Coturnix japonica: one gene and its partners. The protein of the gene in region 5 interacts with the protein of the main gene of each other region in a biochemical or structural test. Links are inferred from orthologs where the notes say so. Each region holds a gene or a part of one and is shown on either strand. Other genes may lie near its edges.

The links.
Region 1: the proteins of ERBB4 (region 5) and NRG2 form a complex in vitro, tested with the Homo sapiens proteins (2 studies listed by BioGRID). The link is inferred for Coturnix japonica from reciprocal best matches to the Homo sapiens genes ERBB4 and NRG2.
Region 2: the proteins of ERBB4 (region 5) and ABL2 form a complex in vitro, tested with the Homo sapiens proteins (2 studies listed by BioGRID and IntAct, with this or other methods). The link is inferred for Coturnix japonica from reciprocal best matches to the Homo sapiens genes ERBB4 and ABL2.
Region 3: the proteins of ERBB4 (region 5) and ITCH form a complex in vitro, tested with the Homo sapiens proteins (2 studies listed by BioGRID, with this or other methods). The link is inferred for Coturnix japonica from reciprocal best matches to the Homo sapiens genes ERBB4 and ITCH.
Region 4: the proteins of ERBB4 (region 5) and RASA1 form a complex in vitro, tested with the Homo sapiens proteins (2 studies listed by BioGRID and IntAct, with this or other methods). The link is inferred for Coturnix japonica from reciprocal best matches to the Homo sapiens genes ERBB4 and RASA1.
Region 6: the proteins of ERBB4 (region 5) and NRG1 form a complex in vitro, tested with the Homo sapiens proteins (2 studies listed by BioGRID and IntAct, with this or other methods). The link is inferred for Coturnix japonica from reciprocal best matches to the Homo sapiens genes ERBB4 and NRG1.
Region 7: the proteins of ERBB4 (region 5) and SHC1 form a complex in vitro, tested with the Homo sapiens proteins (2 studies listed by BioGRID and IntAct, with this or other methods). The link is inferred for Coturnix japonica from reciprocal best matches to the Homo sapiens genes ERBB4 and SHC1.

What each region holds. Positions count from the first base shown.
Region 1 is NC_029528.1:15,467,754-15,471,692, reverse strand, and holds the start of NRG2 (pro-neuregulin-2, membrane-bound isoform), read left to right. Parts: upstream 1-1,139; 5' UTR 1,140-1,180; coding exon 1,181-1,610; intron 1,611-3,939. UniProt on the Homo sapiens protein: Direct ligand for ERBB3 and ERBB4 tyrosine kinase receptors. Concomitantly recruits ERBB1 and ERBB2 coreceptors, resulting in ligand-stimulated tyrosine phosphorylation and activation of the ERBB receptors.
Region 2 is NC_029523.1:5,537,685-5,541,956, forward strand, and holds the start of ABL2 (tyrosine-protein kinase ABL2), read right to left. Parts: upstream 2,801-4,272; 5' UTR 2,681-2,800; coding exon 2,287-2,680; intron 447-2,286; coding exon 276-446; intron 1-275. UniProt on the Homo sapiens protein: Non-receptor tyrosine-protein kinase that plays an ABL1-overlapping role in key processes linked to cell growth and survival such as cytoskeleton remodeling in response to extracellular stimuli, cell motility and adhesion and receptor endocytosis.
Region 3 is NC_029535.1:1,379,526-1,383,800, reverse strand, and holds the start of ITCH (E3 ubiquitin-protein ligase Itchy homolog), read left to right. Parts: upstream 1-1,475; 5' UTR 1,476-1,591; intron 1,592-4,275. UniProt on the Homo sapiens protein: Acts as an Acts as an E3 ubiquitin-protein ligase which accepts ubiquitin from an E2 ubiquitin-conjugating enzyme in the form of a thioester and then directly transfers the ubiquitin to targeted substrates.
Region 4 is NC_029547.1:54,365,730-54,369,692, reverse strand, and holds the start of RASA1 (ras GTPase-activating protein 1), read left to right. Parts: upstream 1-1,163; 5' UTR 1,164-1,402; coding exon 1,403-1,791; intron 1,792-3,963. UniProt on the Homo sapiens protein: Inhibitory regulator of the Ras-cyclic AMP pathway. Stimulates the GTPase of normal but not oncogenic Ras p21; this stimulation may be further increased in the presence of NCK1.
Region 5 is NC_029522.1:7,035,430-7,038,929, reverse strand, and holds part of ERBB4 (receptor tyrosine-protein kinase erbB-4), read left to right. Parts: intron 1-1,239; coding exon 1,240-1,287; intron 1,288-1,556; coding exon 1,557-1,604; intron 1,605-2,158; coding exon 2,159-2,456; intron 2,457-3,500. UniProt on the Homo sapiens protein: Tyrosine-protein kinase that plays an essential role as cell surface receptor for neuregulins and EGF family members and regulates development of the heart, the central nervous system and the mammary gland, gene transcription, cell proliferation, differentiation, migration and apoptosis.
Region 6 is NC_029547.1:47,881,143-47,884,642, forward strand, and holds part of NRG1 (pro-neuregulin-1, membrane-bound isoform), read right to left. Parts: intron 1,566-3,500; coding exon 1,436-1,565; intron 1-1,435. UniProt on the Homo sapiens protein: Direct ligand for ERBB3 and ERBB4 tyrosine kinase receptors. Concomitantly recruits ERBB1 and ERBB2 coreceptors, resulting in ligand-stimulated tyrosine phosphorylation and activation of the ERBB receptors.
Region 7 is NC_029540.1:1,434,224-1,438,357, forward strand, and holds the start of SHC1 (SHC-transforming protein 1), read left to right. Parts: upstream 1-1,334; 5' UTR 1,335-2,235; coding exon 2,236-2,838; intron 2,839-3,013; coding exon 3,014-3,084; intron 3,085-3,471; coding exon 3,472-3,535; intron 3,536-3,685; coding exon 3,686-3,805; intron 3,806-4,134. UniProt on the Homo sapiens protein: Signaling adapter that couples activated growth factor receptors to signaling pathways. Participates in a signaling cascade initiated by activated KIT and KITLG/SCF.

The DNA of each region.
Region 1 (3,939 bases), on a different chromosome or scaffold from region 5:
ATTCCTTAGGATCAGCTTTGAAAATAAACCCAAATAAGCCACTTTTTGGAGATTAAACTGACTCCTGGAAACCACTGCAGGGGAAGAGCACTTGTTTATTAAAAAGAGACAGCAGGGATCAGGGCATGAAAGGAGGCTTTGTCTCCTCGGCTATTACCTTACTCCATTTGACGGTATTTTAATGCTTTTTTCTTCAGGTGTGCAGGGAACCTCAGGCACAAATGTCCCACCTTGGAAAGCACCGGGCATAGAGGGCTTTGCGCATCAGGGCAGCCCGTGCCACCTGCAGCAGCCCCCAAATGAGCGCATCTTTGTTGACACTGGTCCGGGTGGCTGCGAATGTCCGGGGGCTCGGGAGGGGGTTCGCTCCGTGTCTGATCGGGAAGCGTCCCCGGGGACCACCCGACCCTGCAGGAGCACGGGAAGGCCACAGAGCAGGGGTCCCCTCTGCAGGCGGAGGGCATCCCCGGGGGACTCTCCGGCATCTCCCCACTCGAGGGCAGGGAATCGAGGTGGGGTCCCGCTGTCCGGCGCCCCCGACACGCGGTGCTGACCGGCGAGCGGGCAGCGGCCGTGAGAGCATCCCGGGGGGGCTGCGGACTGCGGGAGCAGCTGGGGCGGGGGAACCGCAAAGGGCATCCCCATCCCAGGGAGGGAGGGCGAGGGGGAAGGCGTCAGCACATCCAGAGGGAGAAGGGGGCGAAGGCCGGCAGCGGGAGCACGCCGTGGGGGTGGGTTCCGGCTGCGGGAGCGTTGGGGAGGGCTGGAAGGGGCCTCCCGCGCTGAGGATCCGCCGCACGCGGGGCGGAAGGGGGGATTCGGAGCATCCCGGTGGAAGCCGCATCCCGAGGGGCGGGGGGGGCTCCGTGAGCATCCCGGGAAGGGGGGGGGGGGAGAAGGGGGGTTACCTCTGCAGCATCCGCGCGCGGGCTCCCACCTCCCTGGCTCGGAGCGGAGCCGGCCACCTCCCCCTCATCCTCCCGGCCGGCGGCTGCGGGCGCTCGGTGGGGTCGCGGCGGCGGCTGCGGCTCCGCTCCGGCCTGGGGGCGCCGTGCCGGGAGGAGGGTCGCGCCGCGCCGCGCCGCTCCGCCCCGCCGCGCCCGCCCGCCCGCCGCGCCGCAGCCCCGCAGCCCGGCCGCCGCCGCCGCAGGGCCGGCGGGAGCGAGCGGCAGCCGGCGGCATGAGGCGCGACCCGGCGCCCGGCTTCTCCATGCTGCTCTTCGGCGTCTCGCTCGCCTGCTACTCGCCCAGCCTCAAGTCGGTGCAGGATCAGGCGTACACGGCGGCCGTGGTGCTGGAGGGCAAGGTGCAGTCCGTGGCCCCCCCCGCAGGCGGCGGCAATGACAGCCGCGGCGGCTCCGGCCCCGCCGGGGGGGTCCTGGTGAAGGTGCTCGACCTGTGGCCCCTGAACAGCGGCGGGCTGCAGCGGGAGCAGCTCATCAGCGTGGGCTCCAAGGCGCCCTGCTTCAAAGTGAAGCGCAACCACCGCTACATCTTCTTCCTGGAGCCCACCGAGGAGCCGCTCGTCTTCCGCACCGCCTTCGCCCCGCTCGACACCAGCGGCAAGAACCTCAAGCGGGACGTGGCGCGGATCCTCTGCGCGGACTGCGGTACGGGGGGGCGGCGGGGCCGGGGCCGGGCGGTGGGACGGGCCCCGCCCGGGCTGGGAGCCGCGCTGCCGTCGCCGGGCCCGGCCCCGGGATGCGGAGGCGGCTCCGCTGCGCTGCTCGGGCCGGTTCGCTCCGCGTTACCGTGCGGAGCCGGGCCGAGCCCCGAGCCGGGCCTGCGGCGGTGCCGCCTTCGCAGGTGAACTGGGAAGTTTGGCCTCCTTCGGAAGGAGAGTCTCGTTTTGCGAAGTCGTTTTTCTTTTGTTCGTTCGGCGCGTTTCCATTTGCGTCTTTAACGCACCTGCTCCGTGCTTTGTGGTGCCGTGCAGCGCTCCTCCATCACCTCCCCGAGTGCCGTTATGAAATGATTTCGACAGAGGAGCCTGCGAGCGTTCCTCCTTTTGTGCCTGGCTTTCCCTGCCGTCCTCCGGCGCTGCGATGTGTTGTGGGGGTACCGGCCGCAGACAATGACTGCATTTTCCCAGGGTTGGGATCTGAGCTTACAGAAACGCGGGGCCGGCCCTTCGTTCGGCTCCGGTGCTCGGATCCTTTGTCACAGAGCCGGGCAGGGCTGTTACCTGCAGCTCCCGAGGCACGCCGTGCCGCCTGCTGCAAACCCCGGTCTCTGGCGCTTGGTGGCTTGCAGGGCTGCGAGGGCCTGTCCCCGGGTTCTGTGCTCAATGACAGAACGCTGTGCTTGCTCATCAGGTTAATTGGCCCTTTGCCTCCTTAGAGGCGATGTGCCACACCAGTTATGCTTAGCTACATAATGAACATATGCGCATGGTGTTGTTGTTGTTGTGTTCTCACATCGGTGTTCCCGGGGCAGTACTTGGCTATTGCTGACTGCAGACCCCGTGTTTTGAAGGCTGGACCTGGCTCTTTTTTGGTTACCACAAAGAAGGTGCATCCTGGCCTACCATAATATGTTGCTGAGAATAATGGGCTGGCACTGCATATCAGAAAGCTAATTCAGGAGGCACCGACCTCATCTGTGGGCCACGGTGGATACTGAGGATTTGGTGAAATAAGGAGTTAAATGCAAGAGGAGAGGAATGTATTGAGATTCTGATTTCTTTGTGAGGTGAAAGCACAGCAGAAGGGCTATGGTGCTTTTTTGTTGTTTTTTTTTCAGGAGGAAGGGTTGCAAACTTGTGCATCTCTGAGCAGTGGGATGTGACTTTAAGAGGAATGGAGGCTGCTCCGTTGCTTTCTGGATCAGGCCCAAAGCGCTAACGTGTGGGCTGATGTAACAACAAGTGAGGGGATGTCGTTCTGCCCGTGACACCCTCCCGGAGCTGATGCTTTGTTTTTGTGTTTCCGACGGGCTGAGGGATGCGGCGGGTTGTCAGCAGTGCTGCCTCAGTGGAGCTGTATGGCAGATGCAAAAGGAAAATAAATAAAAAAGCTGGTGGTTGGGAACTGTCAGAGCTGTGGTTTGTTAAGTGATGGGGATGAGATGGAAGCCTCAGCACACTGAACTTGTGGTTCCTGCAGCATGAAGGTTCAGCCGGGGCACCGGGAGGCAGGTTCTGAAGGTGACATTCCTGGCAGGATCTTCTGATTTGTGGGATCTAAGTTGATGGAAGGTGCACGGACTGAGAAACCAGGCCACGGTCTGCTTTCTTGCTCCTTGGGTTCCAGTGGGGCAGGGATCCAAAGAGGCACGGGGCTGTTTCCCATCCTCTCTGCAGGTGGGGATGGTGGACAGCTCCAGGGCTGGCAGACGGAGCCCTGTCCCGGCACAGGGACCTCAGAGGGACTCTGGGCTTTGGGAGCACCGTGGAGCAGAGGGTGTGCTGGGCCATGTGGCTCTGACCACGAACCCCCACTTTGAAGGATGGAGGCCTTGCAGGGCTGTCATCTCCCCTTCCTGGCTCCGTGCCTGGCTCTGTTTTCAGTGATTCATTCCCTTCTCATGGACTGGGATGCTGTGTGTCCTCTGCTTTCCTGCCTGCTGATGCTCCGCGTGTGCCGCAGGGTCAGGCCTGCAGTCAGAGCATCGTGGCTCTCTCCCAGGGCCAGGCTCTTGCCTGCACAGCACATTGTGGGAGCAGGTGAAGCCCTGTAGGACAATAAGGAAGTCTGAAGGAGAGGGGAGCACTGCACGGGGTGCAGGAGGTGGAGAGGGAGCATCTGTGCCAAGTTTTGGGAGGCACTTGGGGGGGTCTTGGCTGGATGGTGTCGTACTGCCCACACTGTGCTGAGATCTGGGGAGGGAAACTCTCCCTCCTGGGCCCAGTGCTGGGCACTCTGGAGGGTGAAGCTTCCCTGCCGGCAAAATGCAGAGGTCTGCAGCCTCTGCCCCTCTGCAGAGCCATGGATGAAGGAA
Region 2 (4,272 bases), on a different chromosome or scaffold from region 5:
TTCTCCTCTGCCTCACAGAGGTGTCTCACAGTCAGGGAGCTGGTGAGTCCGGATGTACCTGGGCTACATCCTTGGCCAATTACTCCACAGTGTATCAGTACCAGAACTGCCCAGCAGGCGTCTCTCCAACACAAGAGAGACCACAGGCTTTATTCCCTGCTTACAGAATAATTGCTCACTGCACTCACTCTTTCCAGTGGAACAACAGAAGCATTCAGCAATCAATATCTCAGCATACAGCCCATGGCCACTCTGCAACTCAGGGGCTCACCCACCTTTGGTGATGCTGAGCGTGTTGTCACCGCTTGCTACAAAATCATAAAGTGCAACAAAGAGGTTGGGGTCGCTCTCAGTGGCTCCCAGCAGGTTCTCCTTGGAGCTCCACCTGATGGCTTCGTTCAGCGCCTGGGGTTCAACATCGCAACCATAGGGACGGTGCAGGGCCTCTGAAGGAAGAAAAGAAGAGGAAGTTACAGCTAAAACCCGGCACATGGCACAGCAGGGCTCCCACTGCACAACGTGTAGGAGAAATAAAAGATGCTCTTTTGATGTGAAGTAGTGAAGAAAAGCTTTTAAAGTCTGCCACGTTACGTTTTCAACCTTTGTTTCCGTGGCTGAAGGCCAGATGGCAAATTTTGGATTTGAAAGCAGTGTTAGGAATAGAGGTAAAACAGATTGAATTATGATAATAGTCACCGAGTCAGCATTAGTAGGAATGGAGGTGATTTGTGACACGTTTCAAGACTACAAAACTAAAGAAGTGGTAAACTGGCAGGGATTGAGGATTAAGTTAAGGAGGGAAGTAATGCTTCTGAAAGCACAGCTGAGGGATGTTCCTGTCCCACCACGTGCTCCCAGTGCCTCTCATTGAATCTGCTCATGAAACCAACCCAAAACAGACGTGGCCTGTTGCTGAGGGTCTGAGGAGTCACATGCAGGATGGATTGTTGCAAACTGCTGCAGGACAACACACACACACACACACCAACCCCACCAGGCTCCCACACTGAGCGAGAGCCAGTCTGTGTAGCACATGGGGAGAACAAAGGGCTTGAGAGCAACACAGGCGGGAGAGCTGGGAAGTCAGAGAGACAGAACAGGAAGAGGCCTATGCCAAATAACAGGCAAACACGTGCTGAATCTGTGCCACGTGATGGAGCTGGAGCCTGGAAAGCTTCAGTGTAGGGGGTTTCCCAGAACCCATGTTCCATTTTTTTTTAAGCTTTGTTATACGTACATGGGAAAGGAAATGACTGAGGTTGGTTTGTTTGCTCTCAAACACACAGCTAAGTGGCTTTTGCCTTCATTTCTGGTAATCCCACTGCTCAAATAACTGCTTTCCCAGCCATGCCAAAGTGGCAGCCTATCGAGGTTCCTTCAGCAAGAGAAGTGACGGAGACACAGCCACCAAAGCATGGCTTCATTCTCTGCAGATGCAGTATTTCTATGCTTCATGTTCTTAACTATCACCTGCAGTTACCAACATCCCAGCCTGTCACATAAAGAGTAATAATGGCTGCTGCTTTCTAGGGCTGGGTTTGTGCACATGCACGTGCAGCTATTATGCATCAGGAACAGCTCAAGTGGCAACAGAAAAGACCAGTGGTTCCCAAATCTGAGCATCCAGTCCCTAATAACCTACGGTGCTCAATACGAGTGGGACCCATGCCATCCTACGTACAAGGATAAGAAAGCAGAGTTCAATACGGTAATCACAGAGCTCAGTAAGGAAGCTGAGACAAATCACACCACAAAGGAAACACCTCACACTGAACAAGCTGTGAGCTCCGGTCACACCAAGGGCGAGGAAGTGAACTGGGAAGTTCTCTCTGACATCAACCCAAAGCATAACCACAAATCACGTTATTGCTTTCATTTCCTATACAATTGAAAACTTACATCATCGTTTAGTCTACAAGTGAGGTTATGCTTCAGCCACCTCCTTCCTCTCTATTCCCACAGCACACTTTGCTTCCCTCCGGACATGAACGCTTTCCTATTCAGCCACCACGTCAGGACTTTCTGCCTCCCCCCCCTCGTGCCACTGAGGCTCCAATAATGGATCTCTTCAGTTCAAGAGCAGCACGAGAGCCCAGCACACACCTCACCTTCAACAGCAGAACCGCACCAGGTGCTGATGCTCGATTGTACCAACAGCATTTTGCTAATCCTGAATAAAAGCTGGCAATCTCAGTCCTGCTCCCACACAAGACAAAGAGCTGAGAGGACCCACACCCTCCTTTAGACCAACAGGGCAGTACAGGAATAGAGCTGTAGTCTCCCTACCTGTGAAGCTCGACCCAGCAGGCTCAGAGCCATCATTGCCAAGGCAGCAGAGCAGCTTGTTGTCTCTGCCATAGCTGCTGGGCTGGAACAGGACCGTGCCCACAATCATGCCGTGCTGCACAGCCAGCAGGAGGCCAAATAACTGCAGCAAGAAGTGCTGGGTCCGCACGTGGAGGTCAATGGGAAAGCAAGGCAGCCTATGGGGCGGAGGAGGAGCAAGGGGCTGCAGTGTTTGGTTAGGAAGGGTGGAGCTTCCCAAAGAGCTCTGAACAAACCAGGGATGGGGAGGAGGGATGGAATGCGAGTGAAGCGATTTTGACGTGAGCAGCAGGAGGAAAACAAACCGTTTCCTTGGAGAAATTCCTTTGTGCCAATTGCCAAACAGATCCTGCATTAAGGGGACCGCCCCATTGATTCATTCTCCCACTCCACATCCAGAGCAGCGGGGCCATTCACATGAACTACGTGGAAGTGATACAAGTGAAAATACTAAGCCTAGCAGATGTATGAGCACTGAAAGAGAAAACGCTGTTGAACGTTGCAGAGAGAAACAGAAAGCAGAGGCAACACAGCATGCCCAGGCTGAGCTGCATAGCTGCACACATAGGAAGGTTCAGGTCAGCCCTCTGACAGGGCAGCACCAAACTACCTGTCACAAACCAGATCTGCCCTCAGGAGCCCCAGCAGTCCATAGGGCTGCCAGCACAACAGGTTCTTTCTAATGCAGAGGAGGAAGGGTTAAAGAAGAAGCAATCACTGTGGCAGTCCCACACCTGGTGGGCCTGCAGAAGGGTATGAAAGGCAACAGGGGAAGGGCAGCAAGTGCTTTGGCCTCTTGTAAAGGGGGGGAAGCTGCTGCAGCTCACCAGCCAAGAGCAGCATTTCTACAGGCAGCAGCTCTGAGGGGAAGGCAGCTGCTTCGTGTGATGAGGGCACGGCTCAGACTGAAGGTAAGAAATGAGCAGTCGGGCTTGTTAGAAGTGTATGTGTTTTGTGTAAGGCTGTGGGTGTGAGAAGTCACTACAGAAAGGATGTAGGCTGTGCAAAGAGTTACTTCCCCCTTTGTGAGCTGTATCATGAGCTTTTCCCTTCTCCACCACCTCTAATGCATGTGGAAATCACAGCCAGACAGAATACATTAGCACACCTACATAGTGTTGGCTTCCAAAGGTTCTCCTGACAACCAAGGGAAATCCTTTCTCCTCCAAAACAAAGCTCTTGGATCCTGCTGCATGTTACCCAGCAGCTAAAGGTTGAGCTGCCTTTACCTCTGAACCCCCAGGGCACCATTTTCCTGTTTGATCTTCCTTTTGCAGTTTGTTTTTTCTCTCTTGTGTGCTCCAAATGATCTTTATTACACTGGTGTGTGAAATAGTGCATTTATTAACACACAAAGAATTGCAGAGCAAATAACTGCAGTGAATAAGCTTTTCAGGTGGGTCTGAAATGGTCTTTGGAAATGGCAGGCTATGTATTAATTTACTGCTCGGTGAGGATCGGCAGCAATAGTTTAACAAGTGAAATAGTTGTTAGCCTGGTCGTTAAAATAGGACAGATGTCTAAGTGGTACCTCTGGAACAAGGAAGGATTAGGAGGAAATGAATCTGAGTTACAAGCACAGCATGGAAATGCAGGCACTGAGTCTGTAGCCTCTCTGAGCTGTGATGGCCAGCAGGTCTGTAGGTGAGCTCAGGGCAGGGCACCAGCATCCCTGCACAGCAGGTGGGTTTGTAAAGGCCTGGTATGTGCACTCAGGCAGAATGAAACCAGGCTTCTTTCTAACTTCGGGATAAGCATCATTTCCTTCACACTGATGTTGCTGGGTAGTTATTCTAGCGTGTAGGCCGTCACTTTGACATCTGCATCCACAGCAAACATCCTGTTCCTATTCCCCTCACAGTAAGTGCGCAATGTAAGACACGAATTCTGGTGCACTCAACTTGTTTGACAGAAGCAGCAACCTTTCAGGCAGAGCAGCTCTTCCAG
Region 3 (4,275 bases), on a different chromosome or scaffold from region 5:
AATAACAATGTCTTGCCAACCTTGAAGGTTTTGTTCAGTTAGCAGGAATTAATTGATATTTTCCTACTGATATTTTCCTAAATCCCCAACCAAAGAAATCAATACTGATTTTAAAGGTGGTTAGAAGTATGCACGCTCTACCACCACACTATGTCTATGTTCACAAGTGAAAACAACTGATTATAAGGCAGCACGAAAAATAATCTCTTCTTAAAGATGATAATTTCAAAATAAGTTTGATCTTAAATTATAACTCATTCTCTGCAGCAATGATCCAGTTAAAACAAATTCCAGGAGACTTGTTTTTAAGAAGACTTGCTCTATAGATGTTTACAAAGTACTTTGAAATGCAGTCATAAAGAAAATGCTGTGAAAATGAAATATTCGTACACCTCTAAATCAGCAGCTGCACAAAACCTTAAGGCAGGCAGAAGTGTTAAGCCGTTATTAAAGATTTAAAGTAGCTTAGCAGCTAATCGAAATTGATGACATCTGATGACTACTCAACAGTCACTGTATGATATTTGCTTGGGGCTGTGTCTAGCCCAGAACAGGTAATTGTTCACACCATCAGAATTGCTTCCATGGTCACCATGGTCCCTTCAGTACCAGGACTGCCTTTTTGTTGTCGACACAGTGAAGTCCAAAATGAATGTGGATAAAATCTCAAGAAACTCAACAAAGATAAATGGTCCAAGATCTGCCTCTGGAAGGGAGCAGCCCCAATTCAACAGGACACACTGGGGGCAAGTGCTTGGAACACAGTTTGGTGGAGGAGGTGCTGGGGTCGCTTCTGCCACTGAATTAAATTCATCTGCATTTGCTACCTCAGTCTGGTGTTAAGTCATTATTCGGTGTTGGTGTAGCAGCTCATATAAAGGCTGTGATTTGTAACAGGGAAAATTCTGAAAGAGTTTGAATGGGATGATTTCACAACATTCATCTTGTCCTGGAAGCAGAAAATCATCAGTGGTGTGTGCACCCGGAATGCATTCTTTATGGATGTTACAGGTAACACTGGTGGAACTTGACTTGAAGCATCAAAAGCTGGAAAATAGAAAAAGAGATTAGGGTTGTTGATGCTGAAAAAACATTTTTAGCCCCAGTGCAAGTTACAAATGGAGGAAAAATATTGATAACAGAGAATTTACATGGTGTATCTGAAAAGTGATACTGAATGTCATTAATCCACATCTGCCTTAGCAGATGTGATGCAAACAGGGCGCTGGGTGCTGTCCTGCTGGGGAAAGCAGCCAGAGCTGCGTGCTGGCCTGGGCTTCACCTGCAGAGATGCTGCCTTAGTTGTGCTGTGTGAGCTGCCCTGTGTCCGTCGCTGTGTGTGACCCGCCGATCACTTCGGCCGCGCACCCGACAACCCACCCCGCCGGGCGACACCGCGGGGCGCACTGAGCATGCGCGGAGCATGGCGCGGCGCACGCTGGGAGTTGTAGTCACCTCCACCCCGTGGCGGCTCCGGCGACTCCGCGCGTGCGCAGATTGCGCCCGACTTTGGAAAGTCGCTGCCTCGGGTTGGGTCGGAGCGGCTGCCATCTTGGCCGAGGGACGGAGGAGCTGAACGGCGCCGTGCGCGGTGAGGGGAGCGGGCTCTGCAGCACGGGCAGGGCAGGAGGGAGGAGGAGGACGAGGACGAGGAGGAGGACGAGGAGGCGGGGGGTGGCGGCGGGGATGGGAGCTCCAGGGGCAGCGCTGCGGCTCCGCCGATCTCCTCGGCTCTGGGCGGGGGGCGCGGGGACCCCGCGGTTGTAGGCCCGGCCGCCTGAGGGGCTCCGGCCCCACGGAGCTTCACCGAGCGGCCTCGGCGCGCCGCGCTGTCCCCTCCCCGCCGGGCCGAGCCGGGGGCCCGGCCGCAGCCGGCGGTATCGCTCCGTGCCTGCGGCGGCGGTCCCGGGACCTCTGGCCTGTGTGTGGGGCTGCACGGCTCCTGCACGAGCCCACATCCCCCGGCCCCGCTGTTCCCCGGCAGCGCGTGTCGCCGCCCCGCTCGGCCTCCGCCATCCTGCCCGGGCTCCCGGGAGCCGGGACCGGTCACTTGGCCCTTTCGGCGCTCCGGGATCGCTCCCGGCCCAGGCGCTGCTTCTCAGCGGCAGTTCCGCAACACGGCCCCTTCCCTTTGTATTCAGCCCCGTCCTGTCTGTCTCTCGGGGTCTCGGCCGGGGGAGGCTGCTGTGTGGAGTTCTTTGCTTTGTTCCTGTGGGATAACAGCTGTGCCATGAAGCAGCGTTTCCCAGCACGAGTGTGGTTGGAGGTGTGTGTTCCCTCTTGCTGTTGCCGCCGCTTTATTTTGGAAACACGGCCGAGTTCTGGCTGTTAACTCTCCTGCTTCCTCACAGGGGTCTGTGACCTTGTGTGGCAATAACAACCAAGCACGAGTGGAAGGTGCCGTCTGAGGGTGTGAACGCCTTTATTAGATTGGCTCTGAAATCCAGGAGTTCAGCTTGTTGCGATAGGTGTAATCTGTGATGTTAAACTGATAAACAAGCTTAGCATCTATGTATGTGGGGAGAGAAAACCGAGTGTAGCAGTTGGGCCATCTGTTGTCATTTGCGTGGCATTCTTTACCCTTGAAGCTTCGGAAGATGTTCCCAGAGAAGTTAATCTTTATAGCTCAGGTAGGATAGAAAGGATCACAAACAGTTCTCTTTGTGAAACATTCTTTTTCTCAGTGTTCCTCATTGCTCTTTGTTTTAATCTCTGCCCCTTTACCCTCATCCTTTTGGCAGAGGAAGGAGGAGAAATGTGAACTGGGATTCCTGAGAAGACAATTAGTATCGAGAGCCAGTTGGCTGGCAGTTGGTCCAGCTACTGCTTGAATTGACCCGAACAAGTTATGCATAAAGAAGAATGAAACATCGGCTGCAATCTGTCATTAGCTCAGTGGGTTTTATTGCCTTTCAGACATCTTGTTTGAAGAACAAATTTTAATTCTTTCTTCTTCTAGTGAAAGTCCAAAGCAGTTCTAATTTAATTACAGTTATATTACTCTTTGCTACAGCCATTTGAATCCGAACTTGGTCTACTGTGCGTTCTTAGTTGTGGTTTGACTGACAGCTTTAATCACTGCTCTGGATACGTTCACCTCCAAGTGATCATCAGAGCAATATGCGGCATTCTAACCTGGAGTGAGTTTTCTTGTATTAAAACAAAGAACTGATGCCGTATGTGTAAGAGGTGACGTTGCAGTGGAAAATAACTGAGACTTCTGAGTGCTAACTTTGAAAGCTTCTTACAGATTAAACAGTTATTTTGGGTCTTAAGAGAGATCGAGAGATTATTCGTATGAATTTATAAGTTAACAGACATCGCCTCGTTTTCTTCACTCTATTTTTGTTCCTGTTGTAAAGTTAAGGGTGTTTTATGTGTGTGTGTGATGAGCCATTTCCTGAAATACAGAGTTGTTTGGTTTCTTTGGTTGGACGTTTCAAAACAGCTTGTGAGAGTGAACTGCAGAGCTGAGCAGCAGGTGGGAGGGCAGGTATTAGAGCAGCGAGGTGCTTCTCTTGGAGGCTTTGTTTCTCATTGTTTCTAAGAAAACTTGCATTAGGGCTGCTTGAAAACAGTGTTAAGTGAGGCTGAAAAAATGTTTGCATCTGCAGGAGTTAGATAATTTAATGGCATTATCGGTATCAGTCAGTGACAGAGTCTACAGAAACATCTGTAAATGCGAGAGATATATAAACAAAGTAGTAAACATACTCAACCCTGTTAAAATGCTTTCTGTATTGCAGCAAAAGCAATACAGTTTGTCCTAAAAAATAAAGGAAAAGATGTCAGTGGGGTTAAAGCAGGAGGGGAGCGCAATGCTGGAGCTTCTGGGTGCGCTGTCACTGATGCTGCTCGTTGTTAAGCCTTTCTGTTTGGCAGTCCAGTTGTGTTCATTTAATGTTCTAATTTCTGTCATTCTGTGTGTAAGTGGAGGAACTCCTTTGAGCCCTCACAGCTAAGGAGCGTGAATGTGCAGGTATGTCTTGGAGCAGAGCACTTGCCTGGGTCGATTTCAGTAACTGTTCTTTGTTGTGCTGTAGGTGAGCTTTGAAGTGAGGGCTCACCTCAGAAGAGGAAGCAGACAAGCCGGGATTACAGTCTTGCTTGGGAGGATTGTTTGGCTTATTTTACTTTTTACTGCCTCCCAAATTAAGTATTTTTAATGATTTTAGGCCATCAGCTTGTTTGTGTTTTTGTGCTGTGGAATGGCTGTCACCAGAGCTAATTCTATGCCTGCCTTCTGGAGAGGGAATGGTAGTTTCTCTTCATGCC
Region 4 (3,963 bases), on a different chromosome or scaffold from region 5:
GAAGCAATCATAAATATTTACACTGCAGCTCTATGTTTAGGAATATCATTTTAACAACAAGACTGTGCTGAAATCCTTTTATTTAAAAACCCGTAGGAGAAAGCAAACAGCATTAAACAGAAGCCCACGGAGCCAGTGGGCTGCAAGACAACGTGGAATTACATATCCGATTGAAATATGGCAACGTGGAAACCAAGCCCGTAAGAGATGGCTGTTGAGACTGTAATTTCTTTACCAGCACAGCAGGGCATGAACGCGCTGCCATTCTGTGAGCCCAGGGACGCAGACAGCGTCTGCTCTGACACCGGGCACGAGCCCAGCAGAGTCCCACGGGTACTCGCAGCGCTGCAGGACCTGGAATGGGATCCTGCCTTCAGAAGGCAAGATAGGAAGGTTCGTTTCGGCAGATAAAAGGAGGTTTGTCTGCAGGGCGGTGGAAGCGCGAGTAGGAGTTTGTTTTAGTGGCCTGGGGAGAAATTCACTTAATTCTTTTGGTAACACAAGGCTTTGAAAACCTGAATGTTTAGATGCCTCCTGAGAACTTTGGAGAGGCGTGCAAGTGTCAACGTGCTGCTATTTGTCAGCTCTTTTATTATGGGGGGGGAGGGAAAAAAAGAAGAAGAAGAAAAAAAGAAGATAATGAGAGAAGTATCAGCACGGTAACGGAGTAACCGGCAATGGAGTACGGGCGGCAGTGCGGTCACACAGCGGCTGCAGGCGATGCGCTGTTCTCCTCCCGCAGCACACGGCGGTGCAGCTATAACGGGGACACACAAAGCACGGGCTCAGCACGCCCCGATCGCGCCGTCCCTTCCCGCCGTGCCCCCGCGCCACCTGCCGCCTCTCCTGGCTTTTACTCCCCATACTTTCTTCTATTTTCCCTCCCAAAGGCAGCTCAGCCTCAGGGCGCACCATGGCCGCCCCTTGGCCGCACACCATGGCGGCTCGGGCCGCTCCTACCCCGCACTTTCCTCCCCCACGCGGTGCGGCCGCTCCCCCTCCTGCCCCGCCCAGCTCCACGCACGCGCTCATAGGGACGAGGCTGGGGAGCGGCGCACATGCGCGGCCCGTCCCACCGCCTCCGTCCTTCCCCCCTCCCGGCTGGCGGGCGCACGGGGGCGGGCACAGCGCGGGGCGGCCGAGCCGCTCCCCTGGCGGCCGGCGGGGCCGAGGCAGCCGCGCCGGGGCCCTGCGGAGCCGCCGTGAGCGCGCAGCCCCCGCCCAGCCGGGTATTGTTCGCGGCCCGTCTCCGCCGGGACAGTTTTGCCCTCGTCCCGGCTCCGCTCCCCGCCGGGGCGGGGTGGGCCGGGGCCCCTTTGTCGCCACCTCCCCGGCGTGCGGCGGCGGCGGCGGCTGCGGGCGGGAGGGCGAGCGGCGGACGGGAGGGGGGGCGAGGCTCAACATGATGGCGGCCGAGGCCGGAGCTGAGGACGGCGGTTCGGTTACCTCGGCCGGGACGGCGGCCGCCGCCGAGCCGGGGCACTGCCGAGGCAAAGCACCGGGGCCGCAGGGCCCCTTCGCGCCCGGCTCCAGCTCCGGCTCCGGCGGGGACAGCCCGGGCGCCGGCCCGGCTCTGTGCTCGGCGCTCGGGCTGCTGGCGCTCGGCTCCACGGGAGCCCCGCCACCGCCCAGCGAGCCGGGCTCCGCCGCCTTCCCCCCGCTGCCGCCGCCGCCGCCGCCCCTACCCCCGGCCGGAGGGCTGGCGGCCGTGGACGAGGGCGACTCGCTGGACGGGCCGGAGTACGAGGAGGAGGAGGTGGCCATCCCGCTGAACGCGCCCCCCACCAACCAGTAAGTACCGCGGCCCCCCACCCCCCTCGGTTCCGCTCCCGGAGCGCAGGAAGAGCGCGGCTCCGCGCAGCGCCGCGTGTCCGTGCGGCGGGGGGAGGCCCGGGCGGCTCCCGGACAGACTGGGACTGCGGCGCTAACTTTGTAACAGGCGGAGACCTCCCCGCTGTACAAAGCGCTGCTCTCCTCGTGTCATCCCTTTGCATTCCGTTGTTTATACCTTAAAAAAAAGCAACAAGAACAGCACAAAGAACACCCCAGCCTTTTTGTTATTTCATACAGGAATATCACGAAGGTTGCACGCACGTGTTTGCCTTCGTGGAGTAGGGAGGGTGAGGTTTGCTCACTCTGGAACGCGGGTTGGAAATGAGTAGAATTCTTCTTCTACTTTAAAATAGTGGGCGGGCTGTGCTTACAGAATAGCGCCTGACTTTGCTGCTCAGCCAGTTTAAAGCGAGGCTGATGTTGGTTTGTCTGTATGGAGGCAGGAGGCAGAGGTGAAAATCCTGCAAACCTCCTGTTGGATTTCATTCTGTTATCTCTGTTTTAAGGTGAATGGATGTCCTGTGGTGCTGGTAACAGAATTTCGCACTCTGAGCAGAGCAGTTCTCAATTTATATTGTGTGAAAAATGTAGGATCAGATAATGCTGTGTGTAGTTTGTGTAATTAATGAGCACTCCATGCACAACCTTTGGGCTGAAGCATAGGAAGTCTGCAGGTTTGTGTGTAGCACCTCAAGCCCCGTTTCAGTACAGAAAACAGTTCTCTGGGAGGGTGCCTGGCTATTTAAAAAATGGAGTTGCTTCAGAAGCTCTATTGGTTGCACCAAGTAGTGTCTAGAAATGTGTTGTTCCTGAAGTTTCCTGAGGATAGTAGATAATGTAAGGTTTCAAGGTACTGAAACAGTTGGGCTAGATGTTCATAGCGGGCTTTTCCAACCTTAAGGAGTCTGATTGTGTGAAACCATGAGGGTTGGTAGATAGTTTCAAGGCGTGGATCAGAAGGACGACCTGAAAGCCCATCTGAGTTTGGGTTCTTTGTTACATTCTTTCCCAGTACCACTCTTAAGAGACTTCTGCACCATTCGTGTATTTCCATGATTTCAGGAATCATTAAAGTCATCAGGAGGACATAAAAATGTACCGATATGAATCCCTTTTAAATTCATGTCTCTCGCTTTGACAGTCTTCCCTGTAATCTCCTGATTTCTTGACTTTCTGTAGAAGTTTGCTAACTTAAGGCAGTGTTTGAACAGTGTTTGACTGGCGTCACTAATGAGCTGGAAATATGATCAGGCAGTTCTGACAAAGGATCAGGAGGGAAATAGAGGCACACGAATGTGAAATTACTTCTTCAGGGTTGTCAAATCACTGGAGCACACAATTCTGTACTTCTGGTTTTCTCTCTGAAAATAGATCAGACTGCTTTTTCCATTAGATCCAGTTATGTTAGTCAGAGAGAGAGAGTCCTTTTTGGAAGTATCTTTAGGAAATGGGGTGACAGATTGTAAATGACCACCTGTTCGGTCCTAAATATGCAATATGGACATATGCTAATAGGAGTGGGATTTGCTGTCAGAGCATTGTCCTGTGACTGAAGTGCTGGAGTGATGTCTGTCTTTAAGTGCTTTGACAAGTGTGTGCTGAGGGGAAGGCTGTGCAGGCCCTAATTTGCTCTGGTTAACAGTACCTTATTCAGACAAAAGGGAGACAGGAGTCTTTGCAGAACCAGGGCATAACTGTGAGCTGAGCTTTCTTCATAAAAGAGAATCCTTCACAACAAATCAAGTATTGTGGAAAATGTACACGTACCTCCCTACTCTGTGTTCTTAACAGCTTTTCCTTTGCCACATAACCCTCGGAGTGTGACTTTTCAATAAAAAATTGATTGAATAGAACCGTGTTTCTCTCTCATTCAGCTCCTTTATGGTGTCAGTTTTCATCGTTCTTATTTAAGTCATTCAGATTGGCCATATGCTGATAGTAAATCGCATCCTCTCAGTCCTGCTGTTTTATTTTGGAAGGGCCCTTTCTTTGTAGATGTACCATCTGCTTCTATGGAATTAAACTCCTGATTTATTATCAAAACAAAGATCAATATTATCTATAATCTTATACAGGGAAAGGTTTGCTATAATTCTTTAGGAATAATGATTGAATTTATAGTTAAGATTA
Region 5 (3,500 bases):
TCTTGAATACTCTGTGGCACCACAGGAATGTAAGTAACCTATTTCTTGAGCCTTCCAGCTGCTCATTGCCCTGGTGAAGAGATGTGCACGGAGGGACTCCTGTCGAGGCTTTGCAGACAGCTGGTCCAGAAGGACATTCAGCTAACAGAGTTTTTTCTGCACTTTTGTATTTTGCAACCTGGAGCCTTTTGTTAGAAGGTTATCGCTTGGCTAAATACAGATGAATTTGAATGGCAGTGCAGAAAAGCTTGTTCTTAACTAGGGCTTGTCTTGTCCACCATGTTTACACCTTAGACAAAAGGTGTTAGATTTGAGTTACAAAATGGCCGTGGGAATATTTATATCAACAAATCGAGCCCATTCATGAACACCAAACTGGGCTTTCCACATTCATCGTGAATGTTTTCCCCGATGCAGATACTGAACTTCAACCAAAAGCCTCTCTTTATAAAGGCTCGTCTTAGTGACGTATTGGCAAAAGGCACAAACTGACTGTGGTGCGTCCCATCCCTGTGGTGTGACAACGTGCATCTTTTCTGATTGTACTTAGAGTGTAGCTGTTAGTACCGATACGTTTCTGCAAGAGATTGTAATAAAGCAGGCATCTCTTAAAGAGAAGCATTCTCGCCGTGGTCAGGCTTCTTACCCAAGGATGTGGGATTTTTTCCTCACTTGTCTCAAGTTCAGCCTTTTTTTTTTTTTTTTTTTTAATATCCTGACTTTTTCTCTCCCTGAACTGGGAGGTAAGGGAAACAGAGGGAGGTTTGTGAAACAAATTGGGAAGCACAGTAGTTATGAAGAACAGATCTAGAAATCTGAAATGTACCGTTTTAGCAGTAGAAAAATACGTGATTGTGTTTCTCGGCTTTATTTTCCTTCCCAGAAGATCAGCATTTTCTCATTGAGAAATAGGTCAGTTTTGAGCAGCACGGAGTAATACAAGAGCAACTGGTGTGCCAATGGTATCAGAATAAATGAATGTGTCTTTATGGAGGGATTGCTGTACAACCTCCACAACTCGCCCCTACCCAGCGAGGGAACCTGGCCACCTTCCCCAGGGCAGGCAGGCAAGCAGGCACACAGCTTTTTCACATCAGTGAAACACATCTTTGCAGTTTGGATTCGCTGAGGAAATCTGATGAGCATGTTTCTCCCCATCAGTTCATAGAGCTCATGCAACTTGTTTCACCCTGTGACCTCTAAGTACGTATCCATCATTCCATTTTTCTTTCTCATTAGAGTGAAATTGGACACAGCCCTCCTCCTGCCTACACCCCTATGTCAGGAGTAAGTATTTCACATTCAACCTTCATTCTTTAGGTTTTCCTCCTTCCTTCACTGCTTGTTTTCTGTTTTCCCTCCCTTATTCCTATAATGTCTCAAAACCCAACACTGAATGCAGTTTGTGTATGTATAACTCGGGGATCTCTAAGCTCAGCTTGGATTCATCTCTGAGCTCAAGGGATCCACATGCAAAATCACTGCCGATATTTCTTTGAAAAGTATTTAGGAAACAGGCTTGGATGAATCTGTCCATTTTTCCTTCCCATTTATAGGTCACGATGTCGAAATTTCCTTGCACGCCCTTGCTGAGAAGCAGAATGGTAGGTTGAGTTGAACTGTTGAGGTGTTGGCGAGAGCCTTGCTCACAGCCTGGTGGAGCTGCACAGTGTCTGGGTGGCTTTGTGGTCAGTGCTACCAGACACCCTGTGAGCAGCCCCCCTGGGAGCAAACCAAGTTGACCTAGCATAAGGTTTAAGGGTTTTGTTCAGAAATCACGGGAGGTTTTCTATTAAGAAAAAGAGAAACTGGGTTTGCTTGCCTTTTGCCACTGTGAATCTCCAACTTCCACATCTGCGTAGGAGACAAGTTCTGTACCCCATTTCTAGCCTCATTGCCATCCAGTCTCCCTGCAGCCCTCCCTGCCCTGATGCTCCTCCCAGGGAAGGGACCTGCTCAGCAGCACCGGGCAGGCAGATGCTTTGCTAGACCCTCAGCACTGGAAATGTGGCAGCCTGCAGGATGGATGAGGATTCTCCTGCCCTGTGAAATGCATCATTCAGCAGCTGTGGCGGGAGAGCCAAGGGCATGCCTTGTAGTACAATGTTGCTTCCCTTTAGAGAGCGTTCTTTCTAAGCTGCCTTCTCTTTCTCAACAGAACCAGTTTGTGTACAGAGATGGCGGCTATGCTGCAGAGCAGGGAGTGCCGATGCCATACAGAGCTCCTGGCTGCATCATCCCAGAAGCCCCAGTTGCTCAAGGGGCAACGGCAGAGATCTTTGAAGACACCTGCTGCAACGGCACACTGCGGAAGCAGGTGGCCACGCTGGCAAAGGAGGACAGCAGCACCCAGAGGTACAGCGCTGATCCCACGGTCTTCATACCAGAGCGGGTGATTCGGGGAGAGCTGGATGAGGATGGCTATATGACGCCAATGCGAGACAAACCCAAAACAGGTAACAGTTGGTCCTTCCAGGGAAGTTCCCAGTCACTGCCTTCTCTATTTGTCTACATCGGCAGCTTTACACCTGAAAGGGTTTTATCTGCTAACCCAGCAGGACTGAAATATTCTGACTTGATTAACATTTCTTTGCTGGGGGGGATTCTCTTTTCTTTGCTTAACATTCTACTTAAGAAAGCTGACTGTACTATAATGTCAGGTTTGGTATTTCCCCTTTCATTTTTTGATGCTGGAAGGGAAAAGAGAGAGGAATGAAAAAGACAAAGCAAAAATAAGAAACCAACAAACCCCCCTCATTATCCAAGAACAAATATTTATACTTTTTCCAGTAATCTTTCTTTGTCCAGCCATGGTCTCCACTTGGCTTTGTTTATTGATCTGCTTTATCGTCACAGCATCGTGGTTGGTAAAATGTCAGGTTGAACATACCACAGAACCGATGCACATAGTTGGCATTTTACGCCCAAGAGAAGTTTGGGACGGAAAGAATGCCGTGTGCTTTGGAGGAACCATCACCGTGAGGTGGAGTGTGCCTGTGTTACTGCCAGCTCAGTGCCATGCTTCCCACTTGGCCTTCGTTCTCTCCTTTCTTTTTAAATAGCAGCAGCACTGTTTTGCTGTGAGGGGATGTGTCATTAGTCATTTGCTTTCAAACATTTGCATTGGCTTTAAAGAAATTAATCAAATCAGATGTAAATGCCAAATAACTACTGAGTTTGCTACAGGATTTGGAAGACTGTTAATACGTAGTGGAAACAGAGGGGGTTGTGGGACAAGTGCACTTGTAAGCTAAGGCAGACAGTGTCCCTGCTTATCTTCCCTTCCCATCCTCCTATCTCACTTCCTGTGTACCTTCAAACCTTTCTGCAACTGAACCACATCTTTTTGTGGTGTTAGCCCGCAGCAAATGTTTTGAAGACACCACAACCTGTGCCAACTGTTCTGGAGCTAATGTTAAGACTCTACTGTACCCTTTCCAGGACTCACTTGAATTATTTTTCATAATGCTTCAAGGCCCTTTGCCCTTCAAGGATGGAAG
Region 6 (3,500 bases), on a different chromosome or scaffold from region 5:
AGGAGGAAAATCAACAAACCAAAAAACTTTCTCAAACAACTGAAAACTGTATAGCTCTGAAACTGTCAAGATAATGCTAATCAGCAGCAAATCTGGTAGCTTCTGAGCTCTGCTGCCCTGGATTTTCATGAGTAGTGTTAAGACAGAAAGTAGAAATAAGCACATAGGATCTGGTACACACCCAGAATAGCCACATCATACTGCTCATCTTGTTCTGTTGATGTAACATGATCAAGAGTACATCAACACAACTTTTTTTTTCTCTCTGCTATTCAGCCCGCCAGAGCCAGTAACTGTTCCACATTCACTTTAGCTAAAAACAATTCTAAAATCAATGAAATATTCATCACTTTCAGCAATGGTGCAATCTGTGAAACCCAAAACAAAACAAAGCTCATAAAGTCCAGAAAACATCAATCTATAAAACAAAACTTACATGTGAAGCAAACATCGTGGATTATTAATATTTTTTGAATTAACAACAGTGCCATGCAACCTATGCCTTTCTCACCTAATGAAAGCATCACAGACCTTCTGCTAAGTCAGCCATCAGAACCTTCTTTCCAAGTACTGACATTTGATTTTTAGTCATAGATGTCTGAAGTTCAATGCAGTTACAGCAGACAACAGATTCCACTGAAAGCTGTCTCCTGTCTGTCTGAAAAGCTGCAATATCTTCACAAAAGTGCCCACTTTCCAGTCAGTCCTGATAGACTCTAAGGTATTAAATGCTGATTTCTCTCTGAGTTCAGAGAGAAGAAACTTGCTAAGACTGATTTGTCTCCAGAAGTAAATACTACATGATGTGCTACCAGGCAGGAAGTGTACTCCAGCGCTGTATTTCTCACTAGAATCTTTCCAAATAAATGGATCACAGCATCAGCCTGCACAGTGCAGGCCAGGCCTTGAGAAGAAATGAACAAGCGCATACAGCTTATGTTCCTAACTCCTTGATCAAAATCCTCACATGAAGTAGTAACCTCTGCAAACTGCCATAGTGCTCTTTTCTTTTTATGCACTTAACACAACGTGAAAACTCCAATTGAGAATACATTCTCGTCAGAAAATGTTCAGCTATTAAAGCACACAGTAAACACAGACCACCTTTTTCCTGTAGAAACAGCACTTATCCAATGCAGTTATCAATACACATTTTTTGACTTTGTAGTGTATTTAGTTTACAGCATCTTTTCTTTATATCTAACATACAGCTTAAATTGTGCTAGTTCATGCCATCAGTAAGGCTTTCTGTGCCCTTTAACCCATGGGAAGATTACTTGGTTAGCCTTTCACATGCCTCACATCCAGATGCTTAGAATGAATAAATACCTCATGCTGCAAGTCTAAGAGAAGAAATTTTTCAGGTGCACCATTAAAGAAAAAGCATTTATAGAACCTGATGGCTCCACCAAAATATGCAAACAGGATTTCTTACCTGCATAGGTATCGTGGAGGATTTGGGAGGTCTTTAACCATGTAACACTCTCCCCCATTTACACAGAAGGCTTTCTGCTTTATGTCACATTTTGTGAGATGACTTGTCCCAGTTGTAGATGTGGAAGTGGCTGGAAAAGAAGAGAGAGAAAATACAGATCAAAACACCTTAAACTTTCCTACTGTCTGGTAAGTGTATTTGTATGTGAGGGAAGAAGAAAGTCCAGGGAGGATATGACATGTCAGTGAACTCTCTTATCTACTGTCTCCAAAAGTATTTGATACCATCTTTTGCTGATTAACACAAATTAGGGTTCAAATGCACACCTCAGGGAGGTATCCCATGCCCAGCCTATGTTTTACTCTAAATACTGCCAAAAAGGGGTAGGAATACTTCTAGCATGGATGCTGGTCATTTCCCAGATCAGAAGCCACACCACTGAAGGGTTATGTGATCTGTGGCAAATCATTCAGGTTTGACTGACTTCACTTGATTCATCATTTAGTGGTAAGGCTATCTCCATGGCCCACAGAAAGATCTTCACCTCATCCTCCCAGCAGGTGGGATGAACACCCCCTATTATTGTGTCTGTCTCTCCACAATGACTGCAAAGCTTTAGCCTTGAGAATTTTCCCTAATTTTTAAATGGCTAAAACTAACTGATGTCTCTGTCTGCCAGCAATTAAAGGTGGAGGTGATTTCTATATGGTCTTTGTTTATCTGGGTCTAGACTTAAGAAATTAAGAATTTTTCTCACAATGTTAAGCAAATCCCAGTACATTTATTTATGAAATACTGCTTCTGCCCTGAGGTGAAATGTCAGTTTCGTCTACTGACTGATTCCACTGGAGTTGACTAGAAAGCTGCAAATGCCTACAACAAAAGCTGTGTGATAGTCAAAGCATTGCTACACAAAAACACCCAAGGGGCATGTTTATACTACATGATGCATGACTTTCTACCATTTGCCTCACACACAGAATCCAAAGAAAACATGCTTTTAGTAGATAAGCTATTAGCAAACACCACTTACACATGTTGAGTTATTTCTGAGAATAAGGATGAAGTAGTCCCTGTCACATTTGTTTTTCATGCATTTCCCATTATCTTCAAGGAAACTGCATTTTTAGAACTCAGCACTTGGGAGTGCAGGCCAGTGTGGCTGGCACCATTTCTTGAATGGTTTAGCTATCTTGTTTCAATGGGATATGAGTTTCTGATATATTTGAATTCCTCCCTATCGTTCCATCAAAATCCTGTCTGTCTGTACAGACATTGCCTCTCATGCTTTTTCTCTACTCTGCCATCCATCACCAGTATGCCAGTCTCTTTTAATGTTTTCTATAATGACCTGTTCGTATGGGGTGTTTAACAGGCTGACAGGGTTCCAAAAAGAGCTCTTGCAAAACTCAGGCTCCCCCTGCTTTTAACCACTGCACCCACCCACTGGGTCATATCTCACTAGATCCTCATCTAGATTAAGACCTCTAAGTGCCAACAAAATGCAAGCATGAAGTACTGATTCCTCAGAATAACACATTCCTTTCTCCTGGCTCCTCGAAGCATGATGTATAACCTCTCAGACCAGGATAAATTTATACCTTGTCTACAAGCAGGAAAAGGGGTCATGTTTTGAAAGTAGTCTGATACTCTTTCAACTAGCCTGGGTTGAAAAGGACTTTGCACCCAGTGTTGATAAAAGGCTGGTCAATACACTGACATCAGCTCAGCAGTGAAGGGTCGTCTATGCCTATGGGTTGACCACATCCTTGACACAAATCTCAGAATGGGTAATGTATCTTGTGGAGAAGCCTTTCCTTCTTCATAGGCTTTGGAGAAGCCTAGATTAGCTGAAGAGGAGATGTCTGACATGACAGGATGTGGCATAACATGACCACAGGTATGATGAAACCTGAGTGAGTGAATTCTGTCTGTGTAATAAGAAACACGAGCTGCAATAGGTAAACACACTTTTAAGCTTATCCCTACTCACAGCACATGCACAACTATGTATGTTTTTTCATTTCATTAGGAGACTAGAGAGACAAACACTCTGAGCATGTCC
Region 7 (4,134 bases), on a different chromosome or scaffold from region 5:
GGGCTGGGAGTGCAGTGCCAGCCTGTCTGGTGAGACAAGGGGCTGCTGGGTGCTGCTTAGGGGTTGCAGGACCCGAATCTATGGGGCTGAGCACGTCTTGCTTTGCCTTTGGTGCTCTGTGACCCCTGGGTAAGGGGCTGTGATTATTGGGGTGGGCTCTGGAGCTGTGGCAGTTGAATCTGGTTGTGCTGACGTGCCTCATTCCCAGCCAGTGCTGTTGGGGGGGGGATGTGTGTGAGCTGTCTGGCTTCAGCTTTCAATGCAGGAGGTTGTGATAAAATCAAGAGTGATTCTGTTTTGTAGAAACAGAGCTCTGTGAGAAACGGGCACAGCTCGGGGCACTGTGTGTGCCGGGAATTGCTGCTCCCTGCTTCCCATCTGGGCTGGGGTCCAAAAGACCCCTTGCCCCTTTATCTTAGGTAACAGACAGCCCCTGTTTGCAGATGCCTGCAAGCCTTTATGCAGGGGATGCTGTGCCAGGTGGGACCCCCAGCCCCATATGTACAAGCCAATTAGGTCCTATGGGGGCAAACACGCTGCCTTGAGCCTCCCCAACGCCGCCCAGCAGAGCAGGGCTGGCGGGTCTCTGCTTCCTGGCTCCCCGGCCCCGGGTTTCCTGCCTTTCTTCAGATCCATCTTACTGCTGGCCATGGGAAGGTCATGGCACTGAGCTGCCGTGGGGCCCTCGGGGGGTAACAGAGCACATCGTGGGACTGTTCCTGCAGCACCAAGGTGGGGGTTGATGGGGCTGTGGGACCCGTTGGCATCGGAGCCCCCACATCGTGTGGGATCCCAGCTATTTCCAGCCTATTCCCTGCCTCCATTTCCCTGTCTCTGTGGCTTCATGCCAACGTTTGGGAAGCGGGGCAGGAGGTTCCACTGTTGGGGCTGAGCTGGATGAGCCCTTCCCTTGGGCTGGATTTGCCTTGAGTTCAGCTCGGTGTAGGGTTCTATGGGGGTGCCCTGGCCTGCAGGTGGGTCAGAGGGGCCCAGAGACCCCCTTTGTTGGGGGGGAGGGGGGTAGGAGAAGCATGGAACAGCTTGGGTTAGAAGGGGCCTTAAAGCTTATTCCAAAGGGCTGAAGGGGGATCTCTGAGGTCCCCATTGCTGGTTTGCATCAGGTGGGAAGGAACGAGGAGGGGGCAGACTTGCCCCATTGCCCCCCATTAGAAAACTGGGGTTTCTCCTAGCTTTGGAAATGGGTGAGATTTACCCTGGCGCCATCAACACGCTCTGGCTTTTCCCCAGCTCCCTCTAGCTCCGCCCGTGACCTTGATTTTTCTGCTCCAGATCCTCGCCGGGTCCCCACCCCTCCCTCTGAGCCCCTCCTGCGTTGCTTCCCCATCCCCTCACAGCACAGCAGATCCTTCTCCTCCGCCTGTGAGTCAGCACAGCCCTTCCGATCAGCGGCAGCCCCTTCTTCCCCTCCGGGAGGAGCCGGGATGCGGGAAGCAACAACCATCATCGGCTCCCGGCGGCTCCACAGCTGAGCCCGGCTTCTCCCTCTTTACACCCACCTGTATCCTCCTTTTGGCCGCTCTCCTCCTCCTGTACCATCCTGGAGCTGTGCTGGACATCCCTGCATCCCTCTGGCATCGCGTTCCCCCTTTGGCTTCAGGCGTCGCTCCCCACCCCATCGATCCCGGAGAGCCAACAGCATCTTCTCGCTGTCGGCACGTGGCTCGCGTAGCACCGGCTGCTACAGAAGGACCTTGTTCGCTTCTGGACCGTGCTCTGAGCAAGGCTGGGCAGGGCTCGGCCGTGCTCTGTGGCTGCCTTGTCTCAGGGCTTTAAATATTCATGCTTTTCATTTCCTCTGAGCTGCTGGCAACCGCTTGCGAGGAGGAGAGAGCAGGGGCTGGAGAGCAAGCCGGAGGGGCAGCGGTTTGGGACTCGTTTATGGGGCAAAAGGGGCCATGCTGAGCCCCTGCTGAAGACAATGGGATTCGTCGTGGGTGCAGAGAGGGGCAGTGGGGCTTGAGGACCTCCCAGCTGTGTGCTGGGTGTGCTGAGACCCCCCCATCACCGGGTGCACCGGGAGCGGGGCTTGCTGCCCATCTATCCGGATCGCTGACGCTGGTTGCTATCGATCTGCTGGGACTGCGTGGAGCTGGTTCTCCTCGTGAGCCATGAGGGGCTGGAGGGTGCCTGGCATGGAGTTCAACCTTAACCTGTACATGGGGGAGGACTCCAGGAGGCTGTAGGCGCTCTATGGGGTTGCTGTGAGGGGTGGGCATGCTCCAGCCCTTCTCTCCTCTTTCCACAATGGATCTCCTGCAGAAGAGCAAATACAGCCACCTGCGGAACGAGTCTGTCTCCTCCCTGGAGGAGGCTGTGGGAGCCTTGGGGACCCCAGTGTCCCCTGTGGAATCCCTTGAAGGCATTCGGTCACTGCCTGGCTCGCTGTCATCCTCCTCCCTCAGCCCCATGCTGCCTCTCGGGGAGCTCTCATCCGAATCTGAGGACAGCCCCACCACCCTCTGCTCTTTCTTCCCTAAAATGGCCAACCTGAAGCTCTCCAACCCCGCCAACCTGCTCAGCCTACGGGGCTCATCGACCGGCAGCCTTAAAGATACTGGGAGCTCAGGGCAACCCGTCCTAACCGGGACGCTCACACCGACACCAGGGGGAACAGCCAGCACTAACTCAGTAGGACCTGTCACTGTCTGTTCCCAGGATATGAACAAGCTGAGCTGTGCGAAGAGGACGCGGGTGGAAGGCGGCCAGCTGGGTGGTGATGAATGGACCCGCCACGGCAGCTTTGTCAATAAGCCCACGCGGGGCTGGCTGCACCCAGATGATAAAGTCATGGGGCCTGGGGTCTCCTACCATGTCAGGGTGAGTGCTGGGGTGTCTCTATGGGGTGGGAGTGGGCTTTGGGGGGGGGCTCGTTGTGGGTGGAGGTGAACAGCACAGTGTGGGGACCTGTCCCCTCTTTGCTTATGGGCTGCCATGGGGAGGTGGGGGAGTCAAAGCGAGCCAAGCCCGATGCTGACCCTGCTCTCCTCCATAGTACATGGGCTGCGTAGAAGTCCTTCAGTCCATGAGGGCTTTGGATTTCAACACAAGGACTCAGGTCACCAGGTGAGCCCTGGGGTTGTGTTGGGGGCTTGGGGCTGCCCAGGGTGGGTGTGGAAGTGGAACCAGGCTGTCTGCAGCCATGGAGGAAACTGCCAGGAGATCGATGAGCCTGTCAATGAGCTCGGTCAGGCAGGAAGCACTCCTGCAGCTGCATCAAATATTAACAGCTCGCTCTTCCCCTGTCCCTGCCGGGTCTGGGAATCAGCCTGCACTGCCTGAGGGCTTCCCTTTTGTTCCATGCTTAACCCTGTCCCTTCTGCACTGCTCCTCGTGTCCTCTGCCCAGCGGTGCCCCATAAATATGGCATTGATAGCAGAGCTTTGTCCCTGTGCTGATGCAGGAGGGGACAACAGGGACCCCCAGGCTGACGCTTTGCTTTGCTCCATGCAGGGAGGCCATTGGCCTGGTGTGTGAGGCTGTACCTGGTGCCAAGGGAGCAGTGAGGAGGAGGAAGGTGAGGCTGGACTTGGGAAGCTGCTGATGGGAGCAATTTGAGGGCTGGATCTCAACCCAGCCAGCAGTGCTTAGGGGCTCTGATTGCCCCCATGGCTCAGCATGGAGTGGTGGTGGTGATGAGTTGCCTAATGCTGCTGTTCTCCCCCAGCCCTGTGGCCGCTCTCTGAACTCCATCCTGGGCAAGAGCAACCTGAAGTTCGCCGGCATGCCCATCACCCTGACCATCTCCACCAGCAGCCTCAACCTCATGGCCTCTGACTGTAAGCAGGTGAGAGAGGGAAGCTGCTGTGGGCTGCACTGCTGCCTTCAAACAAGCAGAGATCCATGCATCCCCTTCAGGCCCTGCTGGGGGTGTTCCCATTCTCCCTGGGGATGTGTGGTTTATCTGTGTTTCCTGCTGAGTGCTCATCTCCTGGTCCAGCATGTTCCACCCCATCCATTCCTGGTAGCAAAGGGATCTGAGCAATGCCCTGAATGCCTTGTGGGATCTGTGCTCTGGACCTTGAGACCCAAGTCCCTCAGCCTTGGATGTCTTTTAGTCTCAGTAGCTCTGCTGGTGTCTCAGCCCTTCCTCTGGTTGCCTATGGCTCATAACCA